Rhinolophus ferrumequinum: one gene and its partners. The main gene of each other region encodes a partner of the protein of the gene in region 2 in a complex. Links are inferred from orthologs where the notes say so. Each region holds a gene or a part of one and is shown on either strand. Other genes may lie near its edges. The genes, in order: RAB3IL1, RAB8A, RAB3IP and RILPL2.

Region 1 (6,984 bases), on a different chromosome or scaffold from region 2:
CCTTGGAGCCTTTAGAATAAAGTCCAAACTCTTTAACTTGCCTCCAAGGCTTTTCATGATTCATCTGAAGCCTGCCCATGTAGTCTTTTCTTTACTGTCTTCCAAATTAGCTTAGAGCTCTAGCCAAAGTGAAGGGTTCATTTCTTTCTGTGTGTGCCCTGCTCTGTCCCACCTCCAAGCCTTTGTTGCTGATGGTCCCTCTGAATGGAATACCCATCCTCGATTTCTAATATATTTAAATCCTGCTATTTCTTCAAGCCCTCCTTTCTCAAAAAAAGCCTCACCTTACTCTTCCTCCTGAGAGAGTAAATGGTAGAGGGATAAGAACATGAGCTTTTGGAGTCAGAAAAACCTGGATTAAAATCCAAATTTCATCATTTGTTCACTGTTGCCAAATCATTTAACCTTTCCCAGTCTCAGTTCCCTCGTCTTTAACATGGAAACAGAAGGCAATGAAGGACCACAGTGGGTCACTGTGAGAGTGAATTAAGTCTGATATCAAATGTACATCTCCTAGCAGGGTCCTAGCCCACTCCACATTCTGCCATTTTGGAATGGAATTCGAGAACCAGTCAAAACTTCAGGGACGGATGTGACTAGAGGGACAGAGTAAGGTACCCCCACACTGTCCCTCTAGTCACATCCGCCTCTGAAGTTTTGACTGGTTCTCAAACTCCATTATGTGGCTGAGCTTTCCTACTTGGGAGATGGAAGTGGGCAAACAGGTTCCACCTGGGAGAAGCCAGCCCAGGCCCTTAGTCACCGTGGTGGGATTCCCACACCCGTTTGGACCCAAAGGAATCTCCTCTCTCCTTTCTTCATGTGAGCACCAGTGGTTTTTTCACTGGGAAATGTTTACGTCTCCAAAGGGGTACACTGGCCCTCACGATCAGTACTCATAGTATGGTAAGTCAAGCAGAACAAGGATAATCCTATTTTAGGGTGGGTAAACTGAGCCTCGCACTATCTTTCATACAGTTGGATCTAGGACTTGAACTTCTCAGTCTTACTCAGAGGCTCTCAGAGCCCTGGGCAGTTGTGGTGGGGAATCGGGGGGGCTCTGGCCCCAGAGCAGGAGATGGCGCATGAATCCTGGCTCCCAGGGTCTCCACCGCTTATCCACATGCTGGCAGGAAGCTCAGTGTCTGTATTTTCTTTGTGAACCTTGAGTAGGTTATCTCACCTGTGTCATCATTTGGGAAAGAGCAAGGGTATGTATGTCTCTGGGGCTGGGGGTGAGGGCGGGGACAGCACGGACCATGAGACGAGCAAGCTAGGATCAGGAACTCTGGATTCCAGCCCAGCTGTACACCTGCCTGGGCCGAAGTCCTGCCCTCTCTGGACCCCAACTGCCCTACCTGTAAAATGGGGGCGGTGGTAGGTAGAATGATCTCTGTCGTGGAAGCTTAACATTCCCGAAGTGCTGTCCTGGTCCAGCCCCTCCTGGAGCCCAGAATGTCCCTGGGGCCTGACTTCACCAGGTTGGCCCCACCAAATATCTGACAGCATTCGGCTGCCTCCACCCTCTGCCCTGTCCTTGCTCCAGGAGCCTGAGCCTGACTCCAGCTCCCCACCATGCTGGGACTGAGTGGGCAATGTCTTGGTCAGTCCTGAGAAGGGGACCTCCAGGCCCACATTTGACTTCTTGATCTTCTTCCCCTCTCCCTGGAGCCAGCATCCTCTCCTCCCCCCCTCTTGAAATCTGAGCTCAGGGATCCAGGGAGAACTCTCCCTGCAAAACATTCCATCCAGTTGTCCAAACACCCTGCACAGCTGGCGGAGGGAGGGGCGGCCAGAGCTGGGGCTTTTGAAAGCCCTTGGGCTGTTGTTTTCATGGAAATGGCGGAGTCTTCACTGGGAGGGCCAGCCCTGGCTGCCCTATGGGGTTCACAGGGCCCAGAGATAAAAGAAGAGCCCCCAACACAGGCACTCCTAGGCTTGCCCAAGGTCTCCCTCCCGAGTGCCCAGCCCCTGGTGAGGAAAATCCATGTCTGCCAGGCCAAGTGTGCACCACCACCTCTCCGCCTGCCTGCCGGCTAGAAGGTGGCTAGACAGCGGGCGGCTGGAGACCTTGTGAGCCTTCCCTCGTGACTGGGCTAAGCGGCGGGGGAAGGGCAGGAGAGAATGATGCTGAGATAGCATCCCCAGAGGTGACTTCCGGCAGCAGCTTTTACTGGCTTGCGGTCTCGGAGCTGGCTGCCTCTAGCCTGCAACTCACCAGTGACCCAGGGCAAGTCTCCAAGCCTCAGTTTCTTTCACCTGCAACAGCAGAGGGTTGGGCCTCTTCTGGCTCTGATTTTTCTAAGAGGTCACAGACTAGGACAAGACCCTTACAGCTCTCCATACAGTCCCAGCTGTGCCCAAGGGTCCAGAAAGTAGCAAAATTTTCTATACAGTTCCCAGAGCAACTCTGACTCAGTTTCCCCCCGAAGGGATGGCTGAGGCTTGGCAGGAAGGGACTATCTGTCATATACTTTGTTACCAACAAGGCTGAGCCTCTTCCCCTCTTGCCATGTTAGGGTGATGGGGAGACCCCCCCCCTTCATACATCCTGTTTTCCATTAATTGTTTCCAGGTGGGCCCAGAGGTTGCCCTGCAGAGGAAGGTGGGGACACGGAAGAATTTCGCAGGGGGATCAGTGAGGAGCAAAAACAGGAAGGGGGTGGGAGCAAGCCATGGAAACTTCATTGCCAGGAAAGGGAGGCCAGCATCTGGTTTGCATTAGGCTGAGAGAGAGCTCTGAAGCCCAAAGCCTGAGTGGGAGATATTGTTATCCGCAGGCGGGTGGGTGGGCGGGGTGTGACTTAGTCAGGAACTGGCAGCTTCTCCCCAGCGGGAGCTAGGAGGCTGACAGGAAAGAAGAAGGAAGGCGAGGGAGAAGGGAATAGGAAACGCTTGTTTTCGTCTCCACTGTGGCAGGCACTTCATGAATGTTCCCTCCTTAGATGTTCACAACATCTCAGGGGAGGATTGTTCCCATTTTATAGATGAGGGAACTGAGTCCCAGAGAGGTTAAGGGACTTGTCCAAGGTCACACAGCCAGGGAATAGCAGAACTAGGATGAGAATTCTGGCCAGATGAGACAGGGTGGAACATTCAAGTCCTCTGGGGTGGATTGAGGCTAACCATGTGCCAAGCAGGGGGCACTGAGGATTTGATGATTAGTGTGTGTCAGTCTATGCCCACGGGTCACTCAGTGGGGGTGTCCAACAGTGCCATGGGGCACTTGCCATGACACAAGGCAGACCACGTGTCTGAGGGTGGGAGCCCAATGCCTAGAGAAGAAGAAAGCAATTCACAGATGGCTTCCTGGAGGAGGGGGTATGAGCAAAAGAGAAATGTATCAGCAGGGGTGCGATGGGGTGGAGGCTGAAGGAAGAGGGGTTAATGTGCGGAAAAGGAGGGTTGTGGGGTGTATCAGGGCAGCTGGCCTGGTGTGCCTTACAGGGTGAGAGTCCATTTTACAGCTGGGGAAGCTGAGGTAAGAGAAGCTAACATGCCCAGAGGTTCACGTCTGGAAGTGGGGTAGAATCCAGCCTGACTCCAGGCCTGTGTTTTTAACTGCTTTATTGAGTGGTGCCTTTTTGTTGTTGGTTAAAGTTAAAGTTTTGAAGAGGATATTGAGGCCAGGGACCAGGGTAGGGGAGGCAGGGAACCTTGTCCAAAGCCACATGGCCAGCTCATGATAGAGCCAGAGCTGGACAGGTTATTTCCAACTTGCCATCCTGGGCAAGGAGGGGACAGGCAGCTGTATCTGTGGGCCTAGTTGAAGCCCTGGGGCCTTGGGCATGGAGACGAAGGCTCCCATTTCCCTTTGAGGACTCACCTTCCCTGGCCCAGAGCCCAGGAAGGACGGCCCCAGGGTTTTCTGCTGTCAGCTCAGCCACAGGAGTTAATAATTACGGTTTAAGGCGATAGAAGCTTGTCTGGGAGGCTCCTCCCTCACACGCAGCTGCTTCTCAGAGATAGCAAAGGTTAGCGTGAGCCTGCGGGTAGGGAGAAGGCTTCTGCCACCTGCCTGCCTGGCATTCTCCAGAGGGACCCTCGGTCCAGCCCTCCAGGCATGGACTCTTCTGAGGAGTGTACCGGGTGCCCTGCCCGAGGGAAATGTCCCGTGTACCTGGCAATGAGCTCAGGGACTGTTCGCTATGCTGCACTTGAGGGGAACTTGAGAGAGGAGCCTTGGGACACAGACAGGTGAGCTAGTGACCTGGGACATGGAGGGGAGGGATGCATTTGGCCACTCTACAGGAAAGTTGGGGGAGGGTGTGAGAAGCCAGGGTCCCAACCGGGGACTGGCCTAGGACAATGAGGAATTTCATGAGCCTCCTACAAGGTGAGTGCCAGGGGGTGGCCACGATTGTCTTGTCCAATTTGGTTATACAGATACAGAATCTGAAGCTCAGAGAGGGCATGACACTCACCGTGCATCACACAGTGAACTGAAGACACAATCAGGGCCTGGGTCATCCTGGCTGGCAGTTCAGCTCCTCATCTGCCTCCAGCCAAGGGTCTGTGATGGGGGTAGTCAGGGGAATTGCGGGGGTCAGATTTGGGGAAGGAAGGAGCTTGGGGGCAGAGGACACACCTTTTATTTCTCCCTCCCAACCTGTGGGCCAAGCACCCAGTAGGCGCCTCTTATTGCCTGACTGCCTACAGCTGCAGCTTCCAGTGAGTCCTCTGGCTTCTGGGCTGTCTTCTCAGAACATTGGTATGAGGGGTCTCAGTCCCACCACCCCATGGCTGTGTGACATCAGGCAGTTTCCTTAACTTCTCTGAGCCCATCCTTTTCAGCTGAGGAGCAGAACTTCCTGGACTATAGGAGAAGCTAGTGAGCCCTGGAAGTCCAAGGTAACTGGATGCATAGACAGGATATTTTTGGCTAGTAATTGGTGTGTCAATGATCTCAGAGTGGTGACCCCACACTTGTCGTTTGAGGCCTCGCTCAAGGGCCTCCACAGCCCACCAGCCCTTCCACGCTGAGGATTCTTCCTCTAAAGCCATAGCCCTGGGTGGACACACCCTTCACCCTTTATCTCTCCCTAGTTGGGGTTGTCAGACTTGGACCAGGTCTTATCTCCTGTCTGGGCTCGTGAAGATTTGGAGGGTAAGGGGCCCGACCTGAGCTCCCTTTGTGTCATCTTCTCGCCCTTCCCCTAAGTAGTGAGCAGAGCTAAGGGCCAGGAAGACAGCAGTTGCTCAAGTCTTATTTGGTGAAGGATTCAAGTCAGTAAACATGATGACATCTGCTTTCGGCCAGACCCTGGGCTGGGGTAGGTGCAGAAACAAGTGCCAAGAAGGAGCAGGTCCCCGTCCTTCGGAAGCCACAGTTGTTGAAACAATTGCCCTGCAGAGTGAAGGATATGTGGGGCCTGGGCAGGATGATTCTGCAACGATGGAAGGGATGCCCAGGTTGTTGACTGTGCAAGGCACCAGCCAAAGGAATGAGCGAACAAGGCATGAAATCCAGCCTACTCTCCGCTCACCAAGTCCTGCACCTTGGTGTGCCCACCTAGGAAAGGAGTACCACTGTCACTTTTGAACAAAGATACCATTCACTTAGCAAGGTAGTGTGCCTTGGACAAGTGGTGGTGCTGCAAGTCCTTGAGAGTATGTCCCCCTCCTTCCATCTCCCCCACCACACTGGAGCCCCAGGAGGACAGAGACTGTGTCTGGCAGTTTCCCTTTGGGTCCCCAGCCCTGTATGGCCCATAGTTCATACTCAGAAGGGGTTGAATGAATGAATGAATGAATGAATGAAAAATGTGTCCCCAGATGGAAACCTGACACACTCAAGCCTGGAGCCCTGGCTCTGTGAGGCTGGAAGAGTAGCGCCCAGAGTTCTGGTAGCATCTGGAAGAAAAGTACTTTCCTAACTCTCCCAGTCCTCCTCTAGACACAGAGAGTGGGAGCCCTTGTCCCTCCAGGAGAGAAAGGGGGTTATGCTCTCACTGGATCCAGCCCCAGGCTGAAGTTGAGGCAGATGGTCAGGGCAAAGCGCTCAGGATAGGTGACAGGGACACAGAGACTGAGGGACACAAAGGCCAATGGTCTGGGATTCAGGGAAAAGTTTTGCAAAGGATGACGGACCAGACAGGTGTGTGTGTGTATGGAGGCGGGGTGTATTCCTCGACAGAAGACCCTGGGCAAAGGCAAGGAGGGGCAGGGCTGGCATGGCAGGAGAGGCTGGGGTTGGAGACTTGGGCCAAACGTGGGTCCTGCCCGGGATAAGCACTCAGAGTAAAGACGGAGAACACTTGTTTGGGGGGTCTGCCAAACAGGCAGGATGTTGCACAGGGACAGGCAGGGAGCCCAGGGAAGGAGGGGTGGCCAGAGGGCCAGGTGAGGGGGTGGGAGGCTGTCTGCTGGCTCTGAGTTAAGAATGAGGGCGCTGAAAGCCCAGGAGCCTTTGCAGGTTCTTGAGCAGGGTGGCCCAGGGTGGGTGCCGCACGGTGCCTGTGCCGGGGCGGTGACTGGAGAGGGAGCAGCGGGGAGCGTCTGAACGCTGCGTTAGCAGCCGCATGATGTGGATACGGCTCCTCCCCGCACTCCGCCGGTGGCACAGTCCCGAGGCCCACGGCCGTGGGGTTGGGCGGGAGCGCGCGAGCTCTGCGCTGGCCGGCGGAGGGGCGGGGTTAGGCACGTGTCCTCGGGCCACCCTCTCGGCCACGTGACCCCCTGAGGGCAGGGTCGGGGCTGGGCTGGGGGCCCGGGCGCGAGCCGGGGCCGCACCGACAGACAGGCGGCGGGCAGGGCTGACAGCCGGCGGGGCAGGCCAGCCGGCCCGGGGCGGAGTCGGCGGCGGCGGCGGGGACGCGGCACAAGGGAGATCGCGGCGGCGGCGGGGACGGACGCCTGGACGCCCCGAGGCGCCGGGATGTGGAGTGGGTAGGTCCGCGCGCGCTCGCGGTTCTGCGCGGGGTCGGGCTGCGGCTGGGAGGGTCGAGGATCGCTGCGTGGCCTGCGCTTCCCACTTGGAGGTGC
Region 2 (7,149 bases):
ATATAAGCCTGCACTTGAATTGTGCCCACTAGGCCATAAGCTACATGAGAACAGGGACTCAAAAAGTTTTATGGCCACATATCCAGTGACTAAGCGTGGCAGGGGCTGAATACCTATTTTCTGGAAGCCAACTGCCTCATCCTGCACACACACCTTGACTACAGGCCTTGTTACAGTTCTGCTTCTCCCTGATTCATCCGAGTCATCTCTGCAGCCCCCGTACCAAGGCACACAGCGGACATCACAGAAAGATGGTTGAATGAAAGAATTAAGAGAAACGGGACCTACGTGGCGCTGCATGGTTTAAAAAGCACTTTTACCAACATCATCCGTCTCCCTGAAGGAATGAATGAATGAGGTCCTGAGGAGGTAGTGAGGGCCAAGCCAGGCTGGGGAGAACCAACTCCTGGAGCCACAGGGCCAAGTTCACACCACACACAATCAATGGAGCTTACAAAAACAGACTTTGGCAAACATAACCTGGGCAGAAAATGAAGAGCCACTTAATCCCTGATCTATAAAGAAAACCCAGAGGTATACTGAGTGCCAACAGAGACTCCCCTTTATGCATTAGGTTGTCTTTCAAAACTAAGTGGCCCAGGTCATCTCTTCCTAGAACACCTCCCATCTCATCACAGATGCAAGGCACCTATGAAATCAAGAAGCACCATTCAGTTGGCAGAGCCCCACGTCACTCGGCCCTATCCTCCTCCCGGGTTTTATTAACACACCAAATTTAATTAGGACGTGTAAACTTTATGAGACCTAAGAGTTATGAGGCCGTAACTTCAAGGTCAGGGTGAATTAAACTTTCCTAGAAGACAGAGGCCTGCAGGAAAGTTTCATGAAACCAATACAGAGTGGGTGGGAGGGATCCTGGGTTCAAGTGCCACCTCCACCTACCTAGGTGACCTTGCCCAAGTCATGGCCTCCTCTGTAAGTGGAGGCCAGCCTCCTCAGAGCCCTAGCATGCCAGCCTGGACTTTCTGGTCAAGAATCAGAAACCAAACAAAAACCCACCCTTGCACTGACCGCAGTAGTGCTTGTGCTGAACAGGAAGATCCTGACACTGGGAAAGTGAGATCTCTGTTGAGTGACCCACAGCCTGCCAGGTGTTAAGTGATTGGTGGGGGTTCAAGGGTTATCCCAAGGTTCAAGCTTGGAGCGGGGGAGGGGAAGAATCAGAAACACCTGTGCCCCAGGGAGGGACGCTATCACTACAGGAGTCACTCTGCTTCCTCTGGACGGACCCTGGCAGACAACCTTCTATTCATTGTACAGTTCTGATCCTCCACCACCTAGGGCTCTGCACAGAGCACTACTCCTAAACTAAAGAAACAAGGCTCAGAAAGGTGAAGTGATTGTTCAAGGGTGAACAGCAGCTGGAAATCAAGCAGAACAATTTTCTTTACTTTGCACCTGGCACCTGATTGTTTTGCAAAATGCAGCTCCTGAAGGAGGGCAATCAGCATTTCATCGTGGGGTTCAGGAGATGAGTTCATTGGGTTCAGGTTACACTGGGGTAAGGCAGAGCCTGTTCCCTAGAGTTTCTCCATTCAGAATCAACTCCTGGGCTTGGCAACCGTTTCCAGCTTCTCCACTGCGGAGCAAGGCTGTATAGATCAGTATTACTCTCCCAGGTCAAACCTTTTCACGTGGGCAATAGCTGTTTGTGTGGCATGAGGAGAAGTCAGATCCATTTTTGTGGCCGTCAGAACTGAAAAGCAACAAGCCAATTCTGTTCAACCACAATGTGGGCTGGCTTTGTGGGAAAGGCTGTTCTGCAAAGTGACAACCGGTGTCCTGGGCCTCATGATAGGGAAGTCTGGGCTGTCAGTGGCAGTGGCTGATTTCGGTTTCTCACTGAAGCTTTTTATCAGGCATCTCCTTGGGGATGACAGGTCCCAGGGAAGGCAGCTGTCACCTGCCAATGCTGTGACCCTTGAGTGGGATGGGAGGCAGAGCAGGGAAAGGCTCTGGACTCCCTCTCACCACTCCTTCTAGAGGAAATTCACCTATGGGGGACATAGGGTCAGGGATTAGAGACTTAACCCCTGATTATTCCTGAAGAAAGAACAGGACAGGTCTAGGTTAGAGTCCTGGCTCCAAGGTGGATCAGCTGTGCTTGTCCTGTGCTCCCACTCTCTGGGATGGCTGAGCCTTGAGTTTTGGGGTCAGGCACATATGGATTCAAATCCCATCGCTGTCACCTGAAGACTGTATGACCTTAGATAAGTCCCACGCCTCCCTGACCTTCAAATTCACCATCTGTGAGATGGGCTCACAACAGACCTAATATAGAGAACTGGAGAGTGTGATAATGCACATACAGTGCCTGGCACACAGTACATTCTCAATAAAGTCAGATGTCAGGGGTCTTTACCCACGGCCAACTCCCCATGCCTCAGTTTCACTTCTGCAAGACGGGGACCCCAAAAGAACTACTTTAAGGGCTGCTGTAAGGACAGAACAAAATGACAGACGCCAAGACCCCAGCCCAGGACATACACTCACTTAACAGGGGGCTGAGGATCGGGGCCTCAGTCTCCTCATCTGCAAAATGGGCACTTGGTTTCCCCCACATGGCCCGGGAACGCCCGAACGCTAGCGGAGGCGGCTGCTCTTCTCCCCAAGGACCCCCTCGACCCCCTCAGACCCCTGGGTCCGTCCGGCTCGGCCCCTCCCTCAGCCCCTGCCCCTCAGGGGCGCGCCCAGCCCGGGCCTCCGGAGACCCCGGCCGCTCCCCAGCCCCGCTACCTATGGTGGAGATGAAAGTGGAGTTGAAAGCGTCCTCGGAGAAGCGGAACAGGACACAGGTCTTCCCCACCCCCGAGTCCCCGATCAGCAGCAGCTTGAACAGGTAATCGTAGGTCTTCGCCATATTACACTCTCTCCCCGACGGGAAGTGCAGCCAGCGCCTCGCCACTGGCCGCTGGCCCCGTCCATCAGCGCCCAGCCCACCTCCCATTGGCTCCCGGCCCGCCGCGCGTCACCGCGGCCGACGCCCGCCACAGTGCTCCGCCCATCGCGGGGAGATCTGGGGAAGGGGCGAGCGGGGCCCGGAGCCGGAAGAGGCCCGAGAGCGCCGCTCATTGGCCGACGCTCGGGACAGGGCGGGCTACGATTGGCCAGCGGTGAGGAGTCGAGGGGCTTCAAATGAAGACCAGGATAGGGGGCGTGGCATCCCGGGTCCCCGCCTTCTTTCACCGACTCTGGGAGGCCCCGTCCCGCCCCCGAGGGGCGGGGAAGCGCGGGGAGCGGCACCAACGGTTCCGCGCGCCCGCAGCCTGGGGGCGGGGCCTGGGGCTCGTGCGCACGCGCGCCGGGGAGACCGTTAGGCGCCAGCAGAGGGCGCACGCTCGTGGGGTTGGTCTCTGGCTCCCGCCCTCTCGGCCCGCACAGGCTCAGTAGGCGCTAGGGCGAGAGGGGGAAAGTGCGATGGTTTTGGCGGTGTTTTCTGGGGCCTCCACGTCAGGCCTGGATAAGCCGAAGAGGAAAGGATTGAAGAGAGATCGTCACAGTCGAAGCGAGGGCCCCCGAGACGTGCTCCGGGATCCCAGCTCTGGCCAGGGGACCTATTCAGAGATCCCCAGGCCTTCGCCACCTGAGCGCGCTAGGACAACTCACGACATGCCCTCGGCCCTAATTAGAGGTTGTCCAGACCGCTTTTTGCCTTCAGTTCTTCCCCTGGAGCCTGCCCACCCCAACCCAGTCAGCCCTCGGAGGTCCAGAACCCGCCGAGGGATTTAGAATGAGAATTACAGGTATATTGAGGAACACTGGTTCTGTGTCCACCAGTGGTGTCAACACTTAATACCAAAATATTTCATCGCCACCCCAACCCCCTGTGGGGTAGGTATTGCTGTTTAACCACGTTTTATGGTGAGAAAACCGAGGCCACAGAGGCTAAGTGACTTTCTCGGACCCCGAAGTGGGAAGTTGGGTTTTGAATTCAGACCGGGAAGCTTCAGAGGCCAAGTTCTTGATCACTAGGGTTTCCTGCTTCTCAGAGATGGGCCAAACCCTCATTGTGGGCCATCAGAGCCGGAGGATCTTCCGAGATGGCCCCAGGGCGCCCCGACCTTGCATTTCAGCTCATTCTATTAATGTTTCCAAAAAGCTTCGTCCAGAGCCATGGACACCTTGTAGGCTTTACCGACCCCCTCCCCCACACCCCCACCCCTGCCCCCCGTATTTGATGCTATTGAACACCTCTGGCAATTCCTTTTCTTGGCACTCCTCCATTTTAATTGCCTGTTTACCAGCTACGTCCACCTCCCTTTCTCTGGCTGCTGCTTCTCAGATTCCCTTGCAGTCTTTGGGGGTGGCGGGGGTTACTGATTGTCCCCTAGATGTCCATGTTCCTCACGGTTCTTCCTATCTGTTCCCACTTTCTGAGTGATCTTACTTCCTGTGGCTTCTAGTGAAACCACACTGGTGATTTTCACTTCTTAGAGAATCCATCGCCCGCCCAGCCATCCCTCAATGTCTAACTTTCTTGATATCTGCCTTTGGATTTGTCAAAGATACTTCAAATTCATCATGTCCACAACTGAGCTCGACTGTCTTCTACTCACACTTAGCTTGTCCCGAATTACCTTCTTACTGAAATAAGTTGTCTTTGAGCCTTTTCTTTCATCCCTCACATCCTGGTTCTGAAGGAGGTTCTAAATAGCTCTTGGATCTTGCTTTTCTATTTCCATCACCCATGAGATCATCACCTCTCTCCATTGGTTTCCCCGATCATTCTCTAATCCAGATTCCACCCTGCAGTGTGCCCATTCTAAAGCACTTACCCAATGTCCATCCATGGTCTACGGGCAGGATAAAGTCCTCACAACCTAGTCCTAACCTCATCTGCTGTTCCACCCACACTTCATGGGCCTGGGAACTCCAAAAGAGCGGAGACAGGGCAGTTGAATAAACACTGAATATTTGTGTTAATTGCCGGGCCACAAGGATGACTAACACAATTTCCTGAGATTAGATTACAGCCCAAGGGGGTGGGTAGGAGGGAGAAAGAACTTCACCTTAGTAATGATGGTAAGGCACTTGTTTGACATTCTCAACTACCATCTAAACGAGCTCAGTGTCAGCTAAGTGTTGAATAGCAGGAAATGTTTTCAGTTGTACTTGGTAACAAAAAATTGTTTGCATACTGCATCAGTGTTTTCAAGGCTTTCATTTCTCTTTTTGATTCCCTACCCGCCTGTCCCAATATCAGATCTTGAGGCAAATACCAAAGCAAGTCAGGTAGTGAAACTGCAGTCACCTTTGACACTTTTAAGTTCTGTACCATTCAGTCAGCTAAATCGTAAGATTACTTCTTGCAGATCACTTCTTCCTTCTGATTTCACGGCCAACGCTTCCCTGGATTAATGGAAACATCTTCCTCACTGGTTTTCCTGCCACTAGTTTCCCTCCATTCTATTAAGAGCCCTTCCTGAAAATGAATGCTAAGTGGGTTTTCCTAATGTCAGGGGCTTTCTACTCCTGACCAAATTAAGGTTCTTATCAATGTGGATTTCTTTCCTTTATATACTCAACACACAGAAGACCGTACCCAGGCAGGCCTATGCTTTCCTGACTCAAGCAACAGGGACCATCTTTCCTGCTCCTATCTCATCTATTAAAACCTTCCTCATTCTTCACAGCCTGGCTCAGCAGGACTGGGGAATAACAAAGGACAGGAGCTTTTGAGTTACTGAGGCAAAGTGTTCTCACCTGTAATAAAGAGATCACAATCCTCACATCATGAAGTTGTGGTATACAGCCAATAAATAAAATTTGCTAAGTTTGTGGCAGTTATCTCCGCATCCCATGCATTCAATGAACCAAAATGCCTTCTATGTCTCGACGCATTCTAAAAGTCACACAAATTATAGTTTATGTAAAAATTTATTTGACCAAAATGTAGAAAAAGTGATACTACGTATTACATATGATACAGCTGCAAGAATCTAAATGAAAAGTGTGGGTTCTATTCAATTGCACAATTTGCTAGTGTATCTCCTGGGTAGTGTGATGTGTAATAAATAGGAGTGAGGGGCAGAGGAGTCGGATAAGCTAGAAGCAGGGTGGTTTTTAGTCAGAATTGTAAACTGGCCCCCCCCACTGCTGGGGAATATGGAATGTTTCAGCTCTGAGATGTTAACCGAGAAAGCGAGAATGTAACAAAGCTAACATGTGCAGCCCTGTCTACAAAATACTCCATATCCAGTTTAATCAGGAGTTTCCTGGTCTTTTATTAACTTGGTCCTGAAGAAGGAATTAAAATCTTAGACACGTAAATCTTCAATGTACCATTCCCTAAAGTACAGAAGAGATGAAGTTAGGCCAGTTACTTTATCTCTGCTGCCAGAGAGGCCTTTTCTGACCAATATTTATTAATAGAAAAATGCTTTTGCTAAATTATTGATGGTGACTAGTCTTTTTGATATAGTCCCATGAACAGTACTAAATTCTACCATATTCATTCCTGCTGAGTGGATGGCTTCTTATCAGAGTATTATGACTATTTCCCCAGCATTCTCATGCTGACTGCTCAGAAGATGTTTGTTCTGCATGGTAGAATGTGGAAAAAAGCCAGGGTGAGTAGGTTAATCTATCTGTGGTTTATGACTTCCCACAACAGCACCGCCCCCTTTTTGCTCTGGAAGGAAAACCCCCACCCATTTTCATGTGATGGTCCCCGGCCTCCTGTAGTGTGTCCACTGGTGGCTCAGAGGTTCTATTCTTCAGCCTTTTAAATTGACCAGTGACTAGATATTGGACTCTGTGTTTTGAAAGTGTGGTATTGTCTAATCTCCTGGGAACCAAATGCCCTCAGTCTTAAGAGACTATGTTCAATAGGAAACACCCTGCCTACCTTAGTGATAAATGCAATTTAAGGATAAAAATAGAGCTGAAAAAGCTGGTGCCATTTGGGAAAAAAAAAAAAAGGAAGGAATTAGATTTAACTGGTGCTCAAAGCTTCTCTGATACAAAATATTTGGTCACGTATTCATAATTTGCTTGACATTTCCAGCAAAGCGCAGATGCAGTAACAAAGGAAACTTCTTACAAGAGAAGAGAAAGACACGGAGGTCTGGAGCTTCTGTTGGAACAACTCTTCTGTTTTGGTTATATACAATTAAGTTCATTTAGTGT
Region 3 (7,688 bases), on a different chromosome or scaffold from region 2:
TGGGCACGCTACCTCTCTCAACTATAAAAAGGGATGGAATTAGGGATTACCTAACTCCTAGGTCACTGTGAGAGGAAATTTCTATAGTGCTTAGACCAGAACCTGATACATGGGAAACTCTACCCAATGGTGCCAGTATATCACCATCATCAGAAAACTGGAATATTTTTTAAGCCAGAAATACAAATGATAAGAACACCTTTCAGAAGGTGTGTAGACCAGGAATGGAAGAAGCAAGCACATTAAGAGTTCCATTTTGGGCAGTCACACTCAGTTTTTAAACCTGGCTCTGCCATTAATCAGCTATATCACCATTGGCAAATAAGTAACCATAGGCAAGTTATTTCACCTCTCTGAGCCTCAACTTCCTAAACTGTAAAACGCAATCCCACCTATATCCCAGGAATGTCCCCAGGACTAAAGGAGACAGGGACCTAAAGCAAGAGCACTGGGCCTGGCCCACTGTCAAGTTTATATGTCTCCCTTGCCCCACCTCCTCACATCCCATGTGGAGTATCTCCCTAAATTTCATCCATTAAAAACTTAATATTAGGTTGAACCATATGAAAAACAGGTGACGACTAGCAAATTCATATGGTTCCATCTAATACTGTATCAATTCACAAATGGAGAAAATAAACTCAGGGAGGTGAAGTGATTTACTCAAGGTCACATGCACAGTAAGTAAAGGGAGCTAAAACTTACAAAAAGAATTGTTTTAAGATTTAATAATTTTTCATTTGGCCAGCTAATTGATTCAATGAGTCCTGCTCAGGATGAGAGGAAAGGAGGTGAATACTATAACCACAATAATGTATGTAAAACTACTGTAACCTACAAGCTTTTGTTCTGCCATATTAAAAAAAAATGATGGGGAGCTAGATTTCTAAGAATCTTTCAACTTTAAAAGTTATTTGTGGAGTGTCTGTATGTGTGTTGGGGTGGTTGAGGGTTTAGGGAAAAATAGAGGAAAAATATTAAAGGAAGAAGATACATAAGGACACTAATTCAAAAAGTACAATTGTATCTAATTAGAAACCTGGCTGATTACAAACCCCACAAGCAGCTGAACATCAAATATCCATCCAGATGAGAGGTTAGAGGTATTCAATACCACGGAGTGGGTTGACTGCCAAACACATAAAAAAGAGCTGTATTAAATGTATCCACTTTTGGGGGTGGCCGGTTAGCTCAGTTGGCGCTAATAACCCAAGGTTGCCAGTTTGAGCCGCGCATGGGTTGCGTCCTCCTTTAAAAAAAAAAAAAAAATTAGAAGGAGAAATAGATTAAGTAACCTAAAAAAAAACAAATGTATCCACTCTGATTCAAAAAGGTATGCACTAAGGTAGTGGAAAAAGAAAAAAATTAAAAGGCTTTTCTTCTAACAGCAAGAAATACACCATTGTAGTAAAATTGTACATAACTGCTAAGTTTTTTCTATACATTCCACAAGGGCTTCAGGATTAGATCACTTAATCCATATTTGGGATACAACGTCCACCCAAAAATGAAAAGTCCTATCAAAATGCACAGTACTAGTAAATAAATAACAAATGTTAACAGAACAAGGCCCCATAAAACTGGTGGAATATTTAACAGCATCAGATATTCACTATGATAGGTCTACAAATGTATTCTGCCTCTTCTCCTTGATTTGTCATTCACGTTTTGTTTTTTTAACTGCATGAACAAAAAATGAGGGTGAGGATAATGAACAGAAACTGGGTCTTTCAATAGATTTACAATGGAACAGTTTTGCTTTAATCCTCTTATCGGCCTCTGCTCCAATTATGTAATCATTCCATGGCAAAAGATTACACGGATCTTTCCCTACACTAAAATGAAGGAGCTGGAGAGAGAAACACAAGAGTGTGAAACAGGTAGCCTTTGGAATATGTTGTATTTCCTCGAAACTAAATTGTTTGCCTCTTAGGAATCGGTATTAACTCAGCGCTCTCAATTTACCCTTTAGCCATTTACAGATTGTTTTTTTTAATCCCTTAACCACTGGCTACTCTTCTCGCGCTGTAGGTCCCACCAAACACCATCACTTCCAGAATCCATTAAGCTCGCTTTTCCCCCGGCGGTCGGAGCGAGATGTCATCGCTGGAAGAGCAATGTAATCACAATAATGTCTGTCTGTGCAGCTCGTCTCAACTCCCCGAAACAAAAGTCAGGCTGAACTGGGCTGCCTCCTACGGCACGACTCCAGGGCGCTTGTTCTTGCCCACCAGGTTTCACCGAAACCTCCCGAGAGTGACCTCTGCGCCTCGAGATGGTGCCTCACACGTCTTTCACTGAGACCCCTGGTCCACGCCTACAGCTTCACCACGATCCGGCTCCTGCGCTGAACCGAGCTCCAGACTTACTCGGGAACTCTCTTTCGACTCCCCTCCGCGACCCCGTGCCCTCAGCCGCGCGCGCCCCGCCTACAGGTAACCCAGCTCCGGGCTCCCAGCCGTGGGTGCTCGGGACCGCGCAGTTAATGAGTAACGCGCCCGTGCCCGGGGAGCGGGGGAGGAGCCGCCGCCGCCCGACGTCCACCGGCGGTCCCTGGGGGTGCCCAGATGCCCAGAGCCCCGCGCCTCCGCCGCCGCTTACTGGGGTCCCGGAGCCCGCGCGTGCCGAGGCGAGGGCGCGCGCTGGCCGGGCCAGGCATCCGGGTCGGATCTCCGTGCACCGCACCCTCCGCCGCGCCCGCAGCTGCACCTGCCACGGCCGCCCCCCAGGCCGGCTCGCGTGAGGCGGGCGCCAAGGGGGGGCGGTGCTCCGCGCCGCGGGCCTCTCCGTCCCGCGGCCGCACTCACCTGACGAACCCACGACGGCCGCTGCCCGCGCTCAGGGGCGCTCACAGAACCCCACAGAGCGCGCCCCCAAGCAGCGAGAGGCGGACGACCGCCGGCCGACGCCGCTACACTTCGCCGCGGCGGGCGCACTGCGCCGGGAGCCGCCGAGGGAGCGTGGGACTGCGCCTGCGCCGTGAGCGGGGCCTGAAGCGGCCCGGCCCCGCCGTGGGGAGGCCGGCTGGGGGCGGGGCTGGGGCGGTGCCTCGTGGGGCCCGAGGGGCCTGCGCGCTCCCGCGCCCCCTGGCGCCTAGAGGTGCTTTTCCCAGGTACCGGGGTTTGGGCCTCAGGTGTTGCTGAGGGCGGTTTCCCGGGGAACGAGCCCGAGTCGGCGCACAGCCTTGTTTCCCTGGGCCCCATAGGAGGTCTTGGGTTAACTTCGAGTGTGCTAGGCTCGGCCGGAGACGGAAAAAGAACCTTCGATGTTAGTTAACAACTGCTAGAACCAACCTGAGAAACTTGGTGTCCATATAGACCTTATAACGTGCGCGTGTGGGTGTGTGTCGGGGGTGTTGGGGGTGGGGAGTGGAGAGTCCGATAGAACCCAGATCCCGTCATCCCAGCTGCTGCTAGAGCATTCGAGAATGTCGTTTCTGTACCTGCCTTCTCTCATCTTTTGTGTCAACTCTATCAAACTTCCACACTTCTTTAGGAACTCCAGGTAGGAAAAGTGAAAGTACACAACCAAGCCCCTAAAATCTGATCAAAAAGAGCAATCACCGCGTGTGTCTCTGTCTAACTAAAATGGATACGTGCAACTTATGTAATACACACATGGAATAGGATCATCATTCTGTATATTGAGTACATCTATTCGAGGCAGTGAATAAGAGAGTAGGTTATGTGTATGGCTATAGGAATCAGAATTCCTGGGTTTGAATTTGCCACCTACTAGCTGTGTGACCTTGGGCAAGTTAATCTTTAAATAGCCCCAATTTTCTGAACAGTAAAGGAAGATGGTAAGAGTACTTACCTCACTGAGTCGTTGAGAGATTAAATGGTTAAATAATGTAAACACTTAGTGTACCGCATGACACAGAGTGCCTGACGAATATTAGCTGTATTATTAATAACATTATTACTCTTATCATCCACCTATAATCCAAACAGAAACCTAGAAAGTCGTTATTTACTCATTTATACCACATTTCCCATATATCAAGTCCTATCCATTCAAATTCCCAAATAATTCTTAAATCTATCCTACCTCATATTCACTGCTGCTAAATATGACCTTCCTCATTAATAGACTCCTAACTACTCTTCCTTATACCATGTCGTTCATGTCATGTCATGAATGAATGCCATTCATTCATCAGACATTTATTGTGCTCCATCTATGTGCCTACTGCTGGACAAAGGGACATAGAAACCATTACACATAATCTCGACCACAGACTCAAACATAGTGAGGGAGACAAATACACGTATGTCAATTACTGTGAGCTTCTTGAGAACAGGCACAAGGCCTGACATGTAGTAGGGCTGGCTCAATAAATGCAGAATGGGTGAATGACATACATGGAGATGTACTCTCTTGGTATAGAAGTGTTTACAGGACCAGTCCTATAATATATTCTACATAGGACCTTAGACATCGTTCATCTGTAGGAAATAGTAAGCGATAGCCATAGGTCTAAATCCGATGTTGGTTTATTTACAAATCACCCACTATCCATGAGGCTATTTGGAATCTATGAGTACTTACAGGTGTTTTCTCTCACATACTTAATCTGCCATCATAGTTTGAGAATGCAGAGAGTGATATGGGTAGTTACCTACAATAATACTTTAGTGTCCTTGCAGCACAGAAACCAAAGTACATTACAGAGTGTTAGATACTCAGAATCTCAGCCTGCAAAATATATAATGTGTTGTGAGCATCCTAAGTTAGATTGCCCAACCATAAGTTAAAGAGATAGATACTTCACCACTTTAAAAACATGATTTTTAGTGTGCTGAAAATCACACTATATTTTGTAGTGTGATTTTGTAGTGTGCTCAAGTTTGCCTCCTTTCTCTTTCGTTGAAAAATAAATGACAGTATACAACTAATGTCAAATACAACATATAAAATAATATTATATATTTTTTTAAATCTTAAGACTTTCCCATCCATACCTGGGACCAGAAAACAAAGGAGACGAGTGCAGATATCTAGAAATTTAAAATTGAACAAATCATTGTAAGGTTGTTACCCTTAGTTATAATTTTTATTGCTTGTTTGCCTCTGTTTTATTTTCAAAATTCAGAAAATGTTGTATATTTACATGGTACTTTCCAGTAATTATATTTACATGGTACTTTCCAGACTTCACATAAAGTATGTCATGAGTCCTTTACAAAAAAATAATTTGACATAGGTATAAAGGTAGTTATTCTTCATTGTTACAGATGGAGAACTTGGATCACCAGAGTCAGGGCTCTGGTCTGCAGAATGCAGGGTAATATATTACAAACAAATGAAGTTAAAACTCTTTTTTTAAAAAAAAAGCATACTGGATTTCATGTCCAGCAGTATGGCAGACTAGATACTGGTTGATTCTCCCACCAAAAACAACTAAAAGTGCTAAATAAAATATATGAAACATCTTATCAAACATATCAATCAGCTGACAAGAACCCTCAAGGGCAAAACTAGGTAAAAGCAGGAACTCAGACAGTAAATAATAAAGAGGAAAAAAAAGGGGGTGTGGTTACTGGGAAAAAAGTACCAAGGGCAATCTATCATTTCCTTGTCTAGCAAAATAGTTACTTGTGTGTCAGTGCTCACTGCTCACATTCCCATAAAAATTTGCCTTCGCGACTCCTGTACAAAAACAGAACTGTCTCTAAAGTATCTTTCATTAGGTCACTTATATACAACTCTGCATTTCAGGCCATTTTTCTAATGTTGGAATGAACGACTGAAAAGATCTGAGGGCTGAGAGAAAGGAGCTTAGACTCTAAAAAGTATGGTTTCCTTCAAAAGAGTCACTTTAACAAGCTACATACGTATAAGGAAATGTTTTGAGAATGGGCTTTGGATCCCGTTTATTTCACAGACACACACAATTTGCCATCCATTAAACACATATTTATTGATTGCTTCTCTCTGCCAGGTACATAAATAATCTGCAGGAAGAGGAAAGAGAAGGAGAGGTGAGACTTAATGAGAGGGCTTCCTGGCTCCCCACAGTGTTTCAGTCCCGGGTTCCAGTCTATTTCTGAGACTTCCCTCATTCATCATTTCCCATGTGTTCTGTGAGAAATCCTTGTATCCTTAAAATAATGCCCCCATTTTGCTTAGATTTTGAATGGAAAATACAACATATAAAATAATATTATATATTTTTTTAAATCTTAAGACTTTCCCATCCATACCTGGGACCAGAAAACAAAGGAGATGAGTGCAGATATCTAGAAATTTAAAATTGAACAAATCATTGTAAGGTTGTTACCCTTAGTTATAATTTTTATTGCTTGTTTGCCTCTGTTCTATTTTCAAAGTTCAGAAAATGTTGTATATTTACATGTATATATACAATGTTGTATATTTATAATCTTTTCATGGAGAGATTGGTTTCCATAGCAGTTAAAAACTCAAAATAACAGTAACTTAAGCAAAATAAAATTTATTCCTCTCCTGCAAATGTAGGAAGTCCAGGGTTGATGTGGTGGCTCTCTGATCAACGTGGACACAGCCGTCTTCTCTCTTGTATCTTCACCATCTTGAACATGCAGCTCCTGCCTTATGGTCCATGATGGCTGCTCAAGCTCCAGCTATCACATCCTTATTTCCAGAACATAGAAAGGAGATAGGGGAAGAAAAGAGCACGCGCCTTTACTTAAGAACATGTGGAGAAGTTGTATACATCACCACACTTACACCTATTGGTCAGAACTTGACTAAGTGATGTTCAAACATGTAGTCTCTTTTAAGTGGCCATGTGCCCAGCTAAAAATCAGTGGTTCTAATACTAAAGAAGAATGGGAGGACAAATACTGGAGAAAACTAGCAGTCTGGCTCATCATCAGAGATCAGACTTAGGGTCAAAGAAACAGTGATGGGGTAGAACATACAAATAGAGCAAAGACGTTGTAAGGAAAACATGCAGTGTGTTCAGGGATGGTGAGCAATGCAGATTAGTTAGCACATGGAACAACTGCAGGTAGATAAGCCTAGAAAGATACATGGGAGCCAGATTGTAGCTCATAAATGTCCATGGGAGCCAGATTGTATTTCATAAATGCCATGTGGTGGTCAGAAGAGCGTTCCTGTAAGACTTTGAGCTGGAGAGTGAAATGATCAAAACAGTGCTTTAGGAAGAGGAACGTGGTGGCAATGCCGACAACGTACTTGAGTGAGGAATGACTAGAGGTAAAGAAATTAGATAGGAAGCTACTATGAGATAGTGAGTGCTTATATTGCAATGAAAACAGGCAAGGAAAAACATTTCAGAGGATGAATTTGTCTGACGCAACAAGTAATTAGATCCTCCCTCGCTCCCTCTCTTTCATATTCAGCATCGTTATCCTTTTGGGGATCAGCACAATGACTTTATTTGGGGAAGTACACTTTCACCATGTTCGGTTCACATGATTCAAATGGAACTGAATTCCCCCCCCCCCACTTCAAGGTGAGCATGTGACCCACGCATACCCAATTCAAGAATCTTGGTCTCTGGTCTCTGGGATTAGTTCATAATAAGCAAATGACTCAAGCAGGCAATGACAGTAGCTGGCAATGGAGAACATGGCTGAGAATGGGACTGACAGGGAGTAGGCAGATCTGAGAGGTAAAAAGACCCAGTGTGAGTCCTGATCACGTTATTTGACGTCCTGGATCAAGTTGTGACTGAAGCT
Region 4 (7,825 bases), on a different chromosome or scaffold from region 2:
CCCGGTCCAGACCTACTGAACTGGAAACTCTGGGGCTGAGGCCAGGAAATCTGTGTATTAACGAACATTCCAAGTGATTGTGATGCGTGGTAAAGCTTGAGAACCATGGCTCTAGGTTATGGTCAAACACGCTGGAAGCCACTGATTTACCACATACTCAGCACGTGTCCCAGCACCTAGTAAATGCTCAATAAATGTTAACTGTCGTAATGCTTTCACTCTGAGAACTGAATTCTTGCAGTGATTTGTTTCGAGGGGCTCTATGTTGGAGAGAGGAAAGGGGCCTCCCTGCCAGTGGGCGCTCCCCCACGCATCTCAGGCTGCTGGGGCCGAGCCCCCTCGTCCCGCACTCACCTCGCGGGTGGCCGCGGAGCCCTCTCTCCGCAGCCTCTCCACCTCCTTCCTGAGGTTGTCCCGCTCCATTCTCAGCTCCTCCACCGCGAGGTTGCCCTCATTCACCAGCGTCTCCAGCATCTCCAGGACGCGGACAATTTTGAACTGCAGCTGTGTCACCCGCGGGTCGCTGCCCAGGGCCATCAGCTCGCGGCCCACCACGTAGGAGATGTCATACACGTCCTCCACGGTCAGCTGGAAGGGGCTCTTCCTCAGAGCCCCCTCGGGCCCAGCCTCGTCACCCTCCTCTTCTTCTTCCTCCCCTTCCTCTTCTCGCAAAGGGGGCTCTTCCATGGCCGCCCAGCCCCCTGCAGCCTCGGGAGCCGCCGTCTGGGAGTCTCCAAAGGTCCAACTTCCTCCCGACTCGGAAAACTTTCCGCTGGGCAGAGGACCCTGCCTGCCCACGGCTGGGGGATGGCCCGGGAGCGGCCAATCAGCGCAGCGGAGGGATGGGCCCGGGGGGGGGGCGGGGGGGGGCGGCGGAGAGGGAGGCCGCGAGGCGCTGCTCCCCCGCCGGGACGCCGGGTTCGCGCTGCTCCCCCGCCGGGACGCCGGGTGCGCAGGCTCCACTGAGGACGGTGCAGAAGAGCGGCCTCCAGGATGTGGTTTGGGGCACGAAAGAACAACGGAAAGGGAAGGCAGCCGAAAAGAGGAAAGGAGAGGTGACGGGGTGACAGTGACTGCTCCCCGCCTGGGAACTTTTGCAAACCGGGGGAGGAGCTGCGGCCGCGAGCCCCGCCCTTAACGGCAGCCGCGACCGACGCCGGTTTCCATGGAGACGAGGGCGGAATTTCCCACGCGAGTCCGGGAAAGAGGGTAAAAAAGCACACAACTTTTTCCTTCCTACACGCAAGCTTTCCAGCCTTAGACTGTGCAATGTACGTGGAGGGAGCTCCGTGGAGGAAGATGCGCGGAGTTCCCAGGCCAATTTGTCGTCAACCCTGACGCATCTGACCGTCCATAAAATGGAGACAACCTGTGCTCTGCATTTTGCTCATTCCTGGGCTCCTAAGCTTAACAACGTTCTGGCCTTGGCCAAGTTACTTAATTCCTCTGAGCCTCAGTTTCCCCCCCTGTAAATAGCAGTACTGACGTGGGAGGGTTGCTGCGAAGAATATATTAGAGGAGATCATGAGATAATGCGTGTGACAAAAAGCACTTAGGAAGCACTAAAAAAATGTTAGCTGGTATTCTTCTTTCTTTCCTCCAACAAACATTAAGCTTGCCTGTAAGACACTTCCACACAGGGGTTGGAGTGGGAGGAGTAATAAACGACAAAAAATTCAGTCTATTTTGAAAATTAGAAAGTCCCCTACAGATACACAGGGTATGACTGAGAATATTAACAGTGCGGATTACGAAACCAATCACTTCAGGTTTGATTAGAGGTTCGAAATAGTCATCCGCCGAAAACTCAGCAATGGAGCTTGTCTTTCCCAGGAATAGATTGCCAGCTCTCTCTGTGGTAGATGGACCTGATTTTCTCCACACTGAAGTTCTAAAATCACAATGGACAGTGGACAAAGATAAAATAAACAAACAAACAAAAAGCAAAGCAAACAAACAAAACATACTATTTTCAGAGGGTACAATGTTCTCATGATTAAAGGGAGGCTCCAGGGCAAAGGGTCGGTAATCCATAAATTACAGACATTACAACACCAGTGATTAAAGACTGAGTGAAATATTAGGCTTACCATAAATAAAATATGGTATATCATACAATGGAATATCATTCAGCGGGAAAAGCATGAAGGAATAGAATAGAGAGCCCAGAAATAAAACCTCACATATACGGTCAAATGATTTTCAACAGGTGTGTCAAGATCATTCCTTGGGGAATGGACAGTCTTTTCAACAAATGGTGTTGGAAAATTGGATACCCACATGCAAAAGTATGAAGTTGGATCCTTATACCATATACAAAAATTAATTCAAAATGGATCAAAGACCTAAACCTTAGAACTCTTAAAAATCTTAGAAGAAACATAGGGGAGAAGCTTTGTGTCATTGGATTTGACAATGATCTCTTCAAAAGCACAGGCAACAAAAGAAAAAAAAAATAGATAAAAGACAAAATAGATAAATTACATCAAAATTTAAAACTTGTACATCAAAAACCATAATGAACAGAGTGAAAAGGCAACCTACAGAGTGAGAGAAAATATTTTCAAATAAGGGGTTAATATCCAGAATATATAAAGAACTCCTACAATGCAATAACAACAACAACAAAAGAATAAAAATAGCCTGATTAAAAAAATGGGCAGAGTTGGGTGGCCAGTTAGCTCAGTTGGTTAGAGCATGGTGCTAATAACACCAAGGTTGCCGGTTCGATCACCGCATGGGCCACTATGAGCTGTGCCCTCCTTAAAAAAAAGGGAGGGGGTGGGGGCAAAGTAAAAATAGATGATGCAAAATCCTTAGCAAGAAGTTAATAAACAGAATTTAGCACATTAAAGTATTACATACCTTGACCAACTGGATTTTATTCCAGGGATGCAAGTCTGGTTCAAAAAAATCAGTCTATGTAATAATCCATCATAGTAACAGGCTAAAGAATCCACAAAACAAATCATTAGAGCTAATAAACAAGCTTGAGGTTGCAGGACACAAGATCAATACACAAAAACCAATTGTAGTATACATTTGCAAGGAATAATCTGAAAATGAAATTAAGAAAAACAATTCCACTTAGAATGTCATCAAAAGGAATAAAATACTCAAATAAATTGAACAAAAGCAGTACAAGACTTGTACCCGGGAAACTATAAAACATCACTGAGAGGAATGAAAGACCTATATCAGTGCAAAGACACCCCATGTTCATCAGTTGTAATACTTAGTGTTGTTAAGATGGCAGTATCCTCCATCTTACATCTCCATTAATCGACAGAATCAGCACAGTCCCTATAAAAATCTGTGCAGAAAAGAGTTAACACAGCAGGCCTGAGAATGCTAGCGTTTGAAAATGCTGCTTGCAAGGTTGGCCCCTGGCTAGGTTCTGGGAACTTGATTTGGGGAGGGTTACCATGACCCCAACTGATAAGAGTAGCTCACTGTGCCTTAACTGTTTGCACAAACACCACGGTTTATGGTGAATGCTGACTTTCCTCTTGGGAGTCTGGAATTTTTGTATGTGGTAGGCACAGGGGGCCTGCATGGCCAGTCCCCAATAAATACCTTTTGCACAGAGTCTCTAATGAGCTTCCCTCATTGACAGGATTTCACACATGTTGTCACAACTCTCACTGAGAAGTTATGCTAAGTCAAAGAAGCAGTCACAGAAAACCTCATACTGTATGACTCTATTTCTATGAAATGTCCAGAAAATCCATAGAGATAGGCAACTCCATAGAGATAGAAAGTAGATTAGGGTTGCCTTAGGCTGAAAGACAGAACAAAAAAATAAGGCTGGGGTATAATAGCCAAAGAGTATGGAGTTTCCTTTGGGGGTGAAGAAAATGTTCTAAAATTGATTAAGGTGATAATTCTGTGAATAGACAAATCTTTGAATTGTTCACTTTAAATGGGTGAATTACATGGTACGTGAATTATATTTCAATAAAGCTGTTATGAAAAAATAGAAAATAATGGCAAAGGACTTAAATAGACATTTCTCCAAAAAAGATATACAAGTGGCCAATAAGCACAGGAAATGATGCTTTTCAGTATCTCTAATCATTAGGGAAATGCAAATTAAAACCACAATGAGATATCGCCTCACACCCATTAGGATGGTCACAATTAAAAACACAAAATGAAAATAAGTGTTGGCAAGGATGTGGAATAACTGGAACCCTCGTGCACTGCTGGTGGAAATGTAAAATGCTGTAGCCACTATGGAAAACAGTATGGACGTTCCTCAAAAAATTAAAAATAGAATTACCATATGATCCAGCAATTCCACTTCTGAGTATGTATCCAAAAGAATGTCTCAAAGAGATATCTGCACACTCGTGCTCATAGCAGCGCTATTCCCACTAGCCACAAGGTGGAAGTTACCCAAATGTCCATCCACGCATGAATGGGTAAACAAAATGTGGTATGACACACATAATGTAATATTAATTCAGCCTTAAAAAGGAAATTCTGACACAGGCTACACCATGGATGAACCTTGAGAACATTACGCTACATGAAATAAGGCAGTCACAAAAAGATAAATAATATATGATTTCACTTACATGAGGTATCTAGAATCCAAACTCATAGAAACAGAAAAGTAGAATGGTGGTTGCCAGGGGTTGGGGGCCTGGGCAATTGTTTAATAAATTACAGAGTTTCAGTTTTGCAAGATGCAAAAGTTCTGGAGATTGGTTGCACAATAATGTGTGTATACTTAACATTACTGAACAGTACACTTAGAAATGGTGAAGATAGTAGTTTTTATCTTATGTGTACTGTACTTTACCAAAAATTTTTAAAAAGTGCATAAGGAGGTTCCCTGGAGGGATACAAATGTGCTATATCTTGATCTTGGTGGAGGTCACATGAGTATGTGCATAGGTAAAAAGTTGTGGAGCTGTGCACTTAATATTTGTGCATTTCCTTTAGGTAAATTATACCTCGATGAAGTGCTGGGGATGGGCTAAGGAATGAAGCACTGACACATGCTACAACGTGGATGAGCATTGAAAACATTCTGCTAAGTGCAAAAAGCCAGGCACAAAAGGGCCCGTATTGTATGGTTCCATTTATGTAAAATGTGCAGAACAGCAAATCTATTCTGTAGAGACAGAAAGTAGATTATCTGTTGTCTAGAGCTGGGGGAGGATGGATGCTGAGTGACTGCTAAGGTGGACAGGGTTTCTTCTGAGGTGATGAAAACGTTCTAAAATTAGATTGTGGTGATGGTTGCACAACTGTGAATATACTAAAAACCACCGAACTGTACACTTTACATGGGTTAATTTTATATGTGAATTATGTTTCAGTGCTGGTAAATGGAAGCAGCCTTCCCAGAGCAATGCTGTCACAAAGAATTTAATGTCTCTGAGTTTCTTTTTTTTTTCCTTCAGCATCCCTAGCCACCACTGCTGGCATGAATCTCTTCTGCACCACTGTTTGTCAAAAATTCCTTCTGCCTTGAAATTTCCCCAATAATTTACCCTGTAAAGCTTCCTTCCTGCTTTATACTCCTTCCTGCTTTATACTCCTGTGCTACATAGTGAAAACTAGCACATCATGCCTTTAGAATGTCAAAACGTCTTCCATTGAGTAGCTACGCTTTTGATATAAAAAAAAAAGATTCTTTTGTTCATTTATTTAATAGTTTACTTACTGAGCATTTACTATGTGCGGAGTCTGTAGTGTAGTAAACAGGGCTGTCGAGTTCAAGTAGTCTTGACTTGAATCTCACAGCTGCATAAATTGGACCAATCTCCCCAATCTCTTCAAATCCCCATTTCCTCAGTGTAAACTGGGAAAAATAAATGTATTCCCCAAGACTGATGTGGGGATTAGATGAGATAATGCATGAAAAGTGCCTAGTCCCGCATTTAGCACATCATAAAAATCAGGGAGTGTTGGCTATTATTATGAAGTGTTAATGATCTTAGATCGTTAACTCTTAGATCCCTTGTACAAGTACACAATCTGCTGGCAGGTAATCATGACCCTTCTTTCTCCATTGGGAAATTATGAAAACAATTATGAGTCACAGCAGAAGTACTTAAACTGTGCTCTTCAGACCAGTAGCTTAGGCATCATCTGGAAACTTTTTAGAAATGCAAATTCTCGACCCCACTGAATCAGAAGCTTTGGGGGTGGGCCCCAGCAATCTGTTTTAACAAGCCCTCTAGGTAATTCTGATGCACACAAAAGTTTGAAAAACAATGAGTGACAGCATAGTGTTTAAAAGGATGGCTTCTAGATCAGACCACAAAGTGCTCAAATCTTGATTGGCTCAGCCACTTGCAAACTGTGTTATGGTAGGCAAGTAAATTATGCCTCTACTCTGGGCTCAGTTTTCCCAGCTGTAAAATGGGGATAAGGATAGACTTGACTTCCTACAATTGTTGTAAAGTTCTTTACAACAGTGTCTGGCACATACTGTGTTTCCCCGAAAGTAAGACCTAACCGGAAAATAAGCCCTAGTATGATTTTTAGTAAGACATCACCTGAAAATAAGCCCTACCGTGTTTCCCTGAAAATAAGACTGGGTCTTATAGTAAGTTTTGCTCCAAAAGACTCATTAAGGCTTATTTTCAGGGGATGTCTTATTAAAAATCATGCTAGGGCTTATGTTCCAGTTAGGTGTTATTTTCAGGGAAACAGGTGTTATTTTCAGGGTGTTATTTGAGGGTAAGTGCTCAGTAGATGTTGGATATTATTATAAACTACTTTTATCACCAAAATACGAAATACAAGACATTTCCTAAGTTCATATAATTATATGGGAACAAGACATGGAAAGTTGGATCAGTAACACACATAGAATATGACTACCACAAAACTTTTTAAAACGTCATTATATGACGTTTTAAAAATAATTTCAAAAACACTCTTCCCATGAGATTTAAGACAGGCATGCAGCTGCATATTTTTTCCCCCTGCCTTTAAGTAGAAACCAAAGTGACTGCAAAAGGAGTATGAAGTAACTCAGGGTGAAACAAAGGAAATAGAGAACTGGGAAACTAAAGTGGGTGGGTCACACTTAATAAAAATGGAACCTTAAATGTTTGGGGGCTAAATTAGTCCACCAATAGGAAAGTTAAATCAGTAAATGTCTGGTGGCCCTATTTTGGTACATCAAGCACAGTAGATCTGATGCTCTTCTGAGTACCGGTGGCACCCTTTATTTCCTGAGTGGAACACTCACTATGACTTTCTTCCTGTTCTCTCAATGATTTCCTAGTCTTCTTACCCTTAAATCCTGTTTGGACACAGCAAGGATTTTGGAGATTTTCCCAGATTGGCTTAAATGCCTGCAATCCTGGACCAGTGACTTCCTCTCTTGGAGTTAAAGGTCGTTATCAAAGAATCTCCTTGCAGGAAGGGTGGTGCCCAGGGCACTTGTTTTGAGGCCGGGTTTGTGTAAGAGTACACTTTTTCTGTCTTTTTTTTTTTTTAAATTTAGGTGAAAAATTGATTCAGGGTGGTGAGCTAGAGGGAGCATTGAAGGAGATTATGGTGGGGAAGGAATTAAGGCCCTCCACCCTACCTGGGACAGCCCAGGCCCCACCTTGGAATATAACAATACACTCCTCCAAGCTCTGAGGAGAGAATGAAATGAGTTTATTAGCTCAGTGCCCAATGCTAAGTGTTGGCTTTAAGATGGTATTAGTGTGAAACTTCTATAGAAATCTCTAGTAGAATAGTCCATGTTGCCCTCCACATATTCTGCTTGGTTCAGAAAGTATTTTGTATATACTTAATTTTGTATGTAATAGTTTTTAATTACATAGATGTGGCAGTCATGGTGATCCCT

The links.
Region 1: the proteins of RAB8A (region 2) and RAB3IL1 are in contact, whole or in part, in a crystal structure (PDB 4LI0), measured with the Homo sapiens proteins. The link is inferred for Rhinolophus ferrumequinum from reciprocal best matches to the Homo sapiens genes RAB8A and RAB3IL1. Residues at the interface, in NP_005361.2 of Homo sapiens: Lys10, Phe33, Ser35, Phe37, Ile43, Asp44, Phe45, Lys46, Ile47, Gln60, Trp62, Thr72, Ile73, Thr75, Ala76, Tyr77, Arg79; in NP_037533.2 of Homo sapiens: Arg104, Glu108, Leu111, Glu112, Thr115, Ala116, Phe119, Glu120, Ala122, His123, Arg127.
Region 3: the proteins of RAB8A (region 2) and RAB3IP are in contact, whole or in part, in a crystal structure (PDB 4LHX), measured with the Homo sapiens proteins. The link is inferred for Rhinolophus ferrumequinum from reciprocal best matches to the Homo sapiens genes RAB8A and RAB3IP. Residues at the interface, in NP_005361.2 of Homo sapiens: Lys10, Phe33, Ser35, Thr36, Phe37, Ile43, Asp44, Phe45, Lys46, Ile47, Trp62, Ile73, Ala76, Tyr77, Arg79, Gly80; in NP_783322.1 of Homo sapiens: Ser199, Arg202, Asp203, Gly206, Leu209, Glu210, Thr213, Ala214, Phe217, Glu218, Ala220, His221, Val224, Asn228.
Region 4: the proteins of RAB8A (region 2) and RILPL2 are in contact, whole or in part, in a crystal structure (PDB 6SQ2), measured with the Homo sapiens proteins. The link is inferred for Rhinolophus ferrumequinum from reciprocal best matches to the Homo sapiens genes RAB8A and RILPL2. Residues at the interface, in NP_005361.2 of Homo sapiens: Ile41, Gly42, Ile43, Asp44, Phe45, Lys46, Ile47, Lys58, Trp62, Phe70, Ile73, Tyr77; in NP_659495.1 of Homo sapiens: Leu135, Leu138, Arg139, Leu142, Gln143, Arg145, Asn146, Lys149, Ser150, Leu153, Glu157.

Annotation. Positions count from the first base shown.
Region 1 is NC_046294.1:9,034,432-9,041,415, forward strand, and holds the start of RAB3IL1 (guanine nucleotide exchange factor for Rab-3A), read left to right. Parts: upstream 1-3,980; 5' UTR 3,981-4,063; coding exon 4,064-4,197; intron 4,198-6,722; exon of another isoform or gene 6,723-6,877; coding exon of another isoform or gene 6,878-6,888; intron 6,889-6,984. UniProt on the Homo sapiens protein: Guanine nucleotide exchange factor (GEF) which may activate RAB3A, a GTPase that regulates synaptic vesicle exocytosis. Promotes the exchange of GDP to GTP, converting inactive GDP-bound Rab proteins into their active GTP-bound form.
Region 2 is NC_046301.1:49,742,407-49,749,555, reverse strand, and holds the start of RAB8A (ras-related protein Rab-8A), read right to left. Parts: upstream 3,006-7,149; 5' UTR 2,969-3,005; coding exon 2,758-2,968; intron 1-2,757. Other genes in the region: TPM4 (tropomyosin alpha-4 chain), read right to left, coding at 7,123-7,149. UniProt on the Homo sapiens protein: The small GTPases Rab are key regulators of intracellular membrane trafficking, from the formation of transport vesicles to their fusion with membranes.
Region 3 is NC_046293.1:65,679,276-65,686,963, reverse strand, and holds the start of RAB3IP (rab-3A-interacting protein), read right to left. Parts: upstream 3,008-7,688; 5' UTR 2,808-3,007; intron 2,724-2,807; exon of another isoform or gene 2,602-2,723; intron 2,436-2,601; exon of another isoform or gene 2,237-2,435; intron 1,130-2,236; 5' UTR 1,056-1,129; intron 1-1,055. UniProt on the Homo sapiens protein: Guanine nucleotide exchange factor (GEF) which may activate RAB8A and RAB8B. Promotes the exchange of GDP to GTP, converting inactive GDP-bound Rab proteins into their active GTP-bound form.
Region 4 is NC_046308.1:4,394,850-4,402,674, reverse strand, and holds the start of RILPL2 (RILP-like protein 2), read right to left. Parts: upstream 3,009-7,825; 5' UTR 2,866-3,008; intron 1,892-2,865; 5' UTR 688-1,891; coding exon 355-687; intron 1-354. UniProt on the Homo sapiens protein: Involved in cell shape and neuronal morphogenesis, positively regulating the establishment and maintenance of dendritic spines. Plays a role in cellular protein transport, including protein transport away from primary cilia.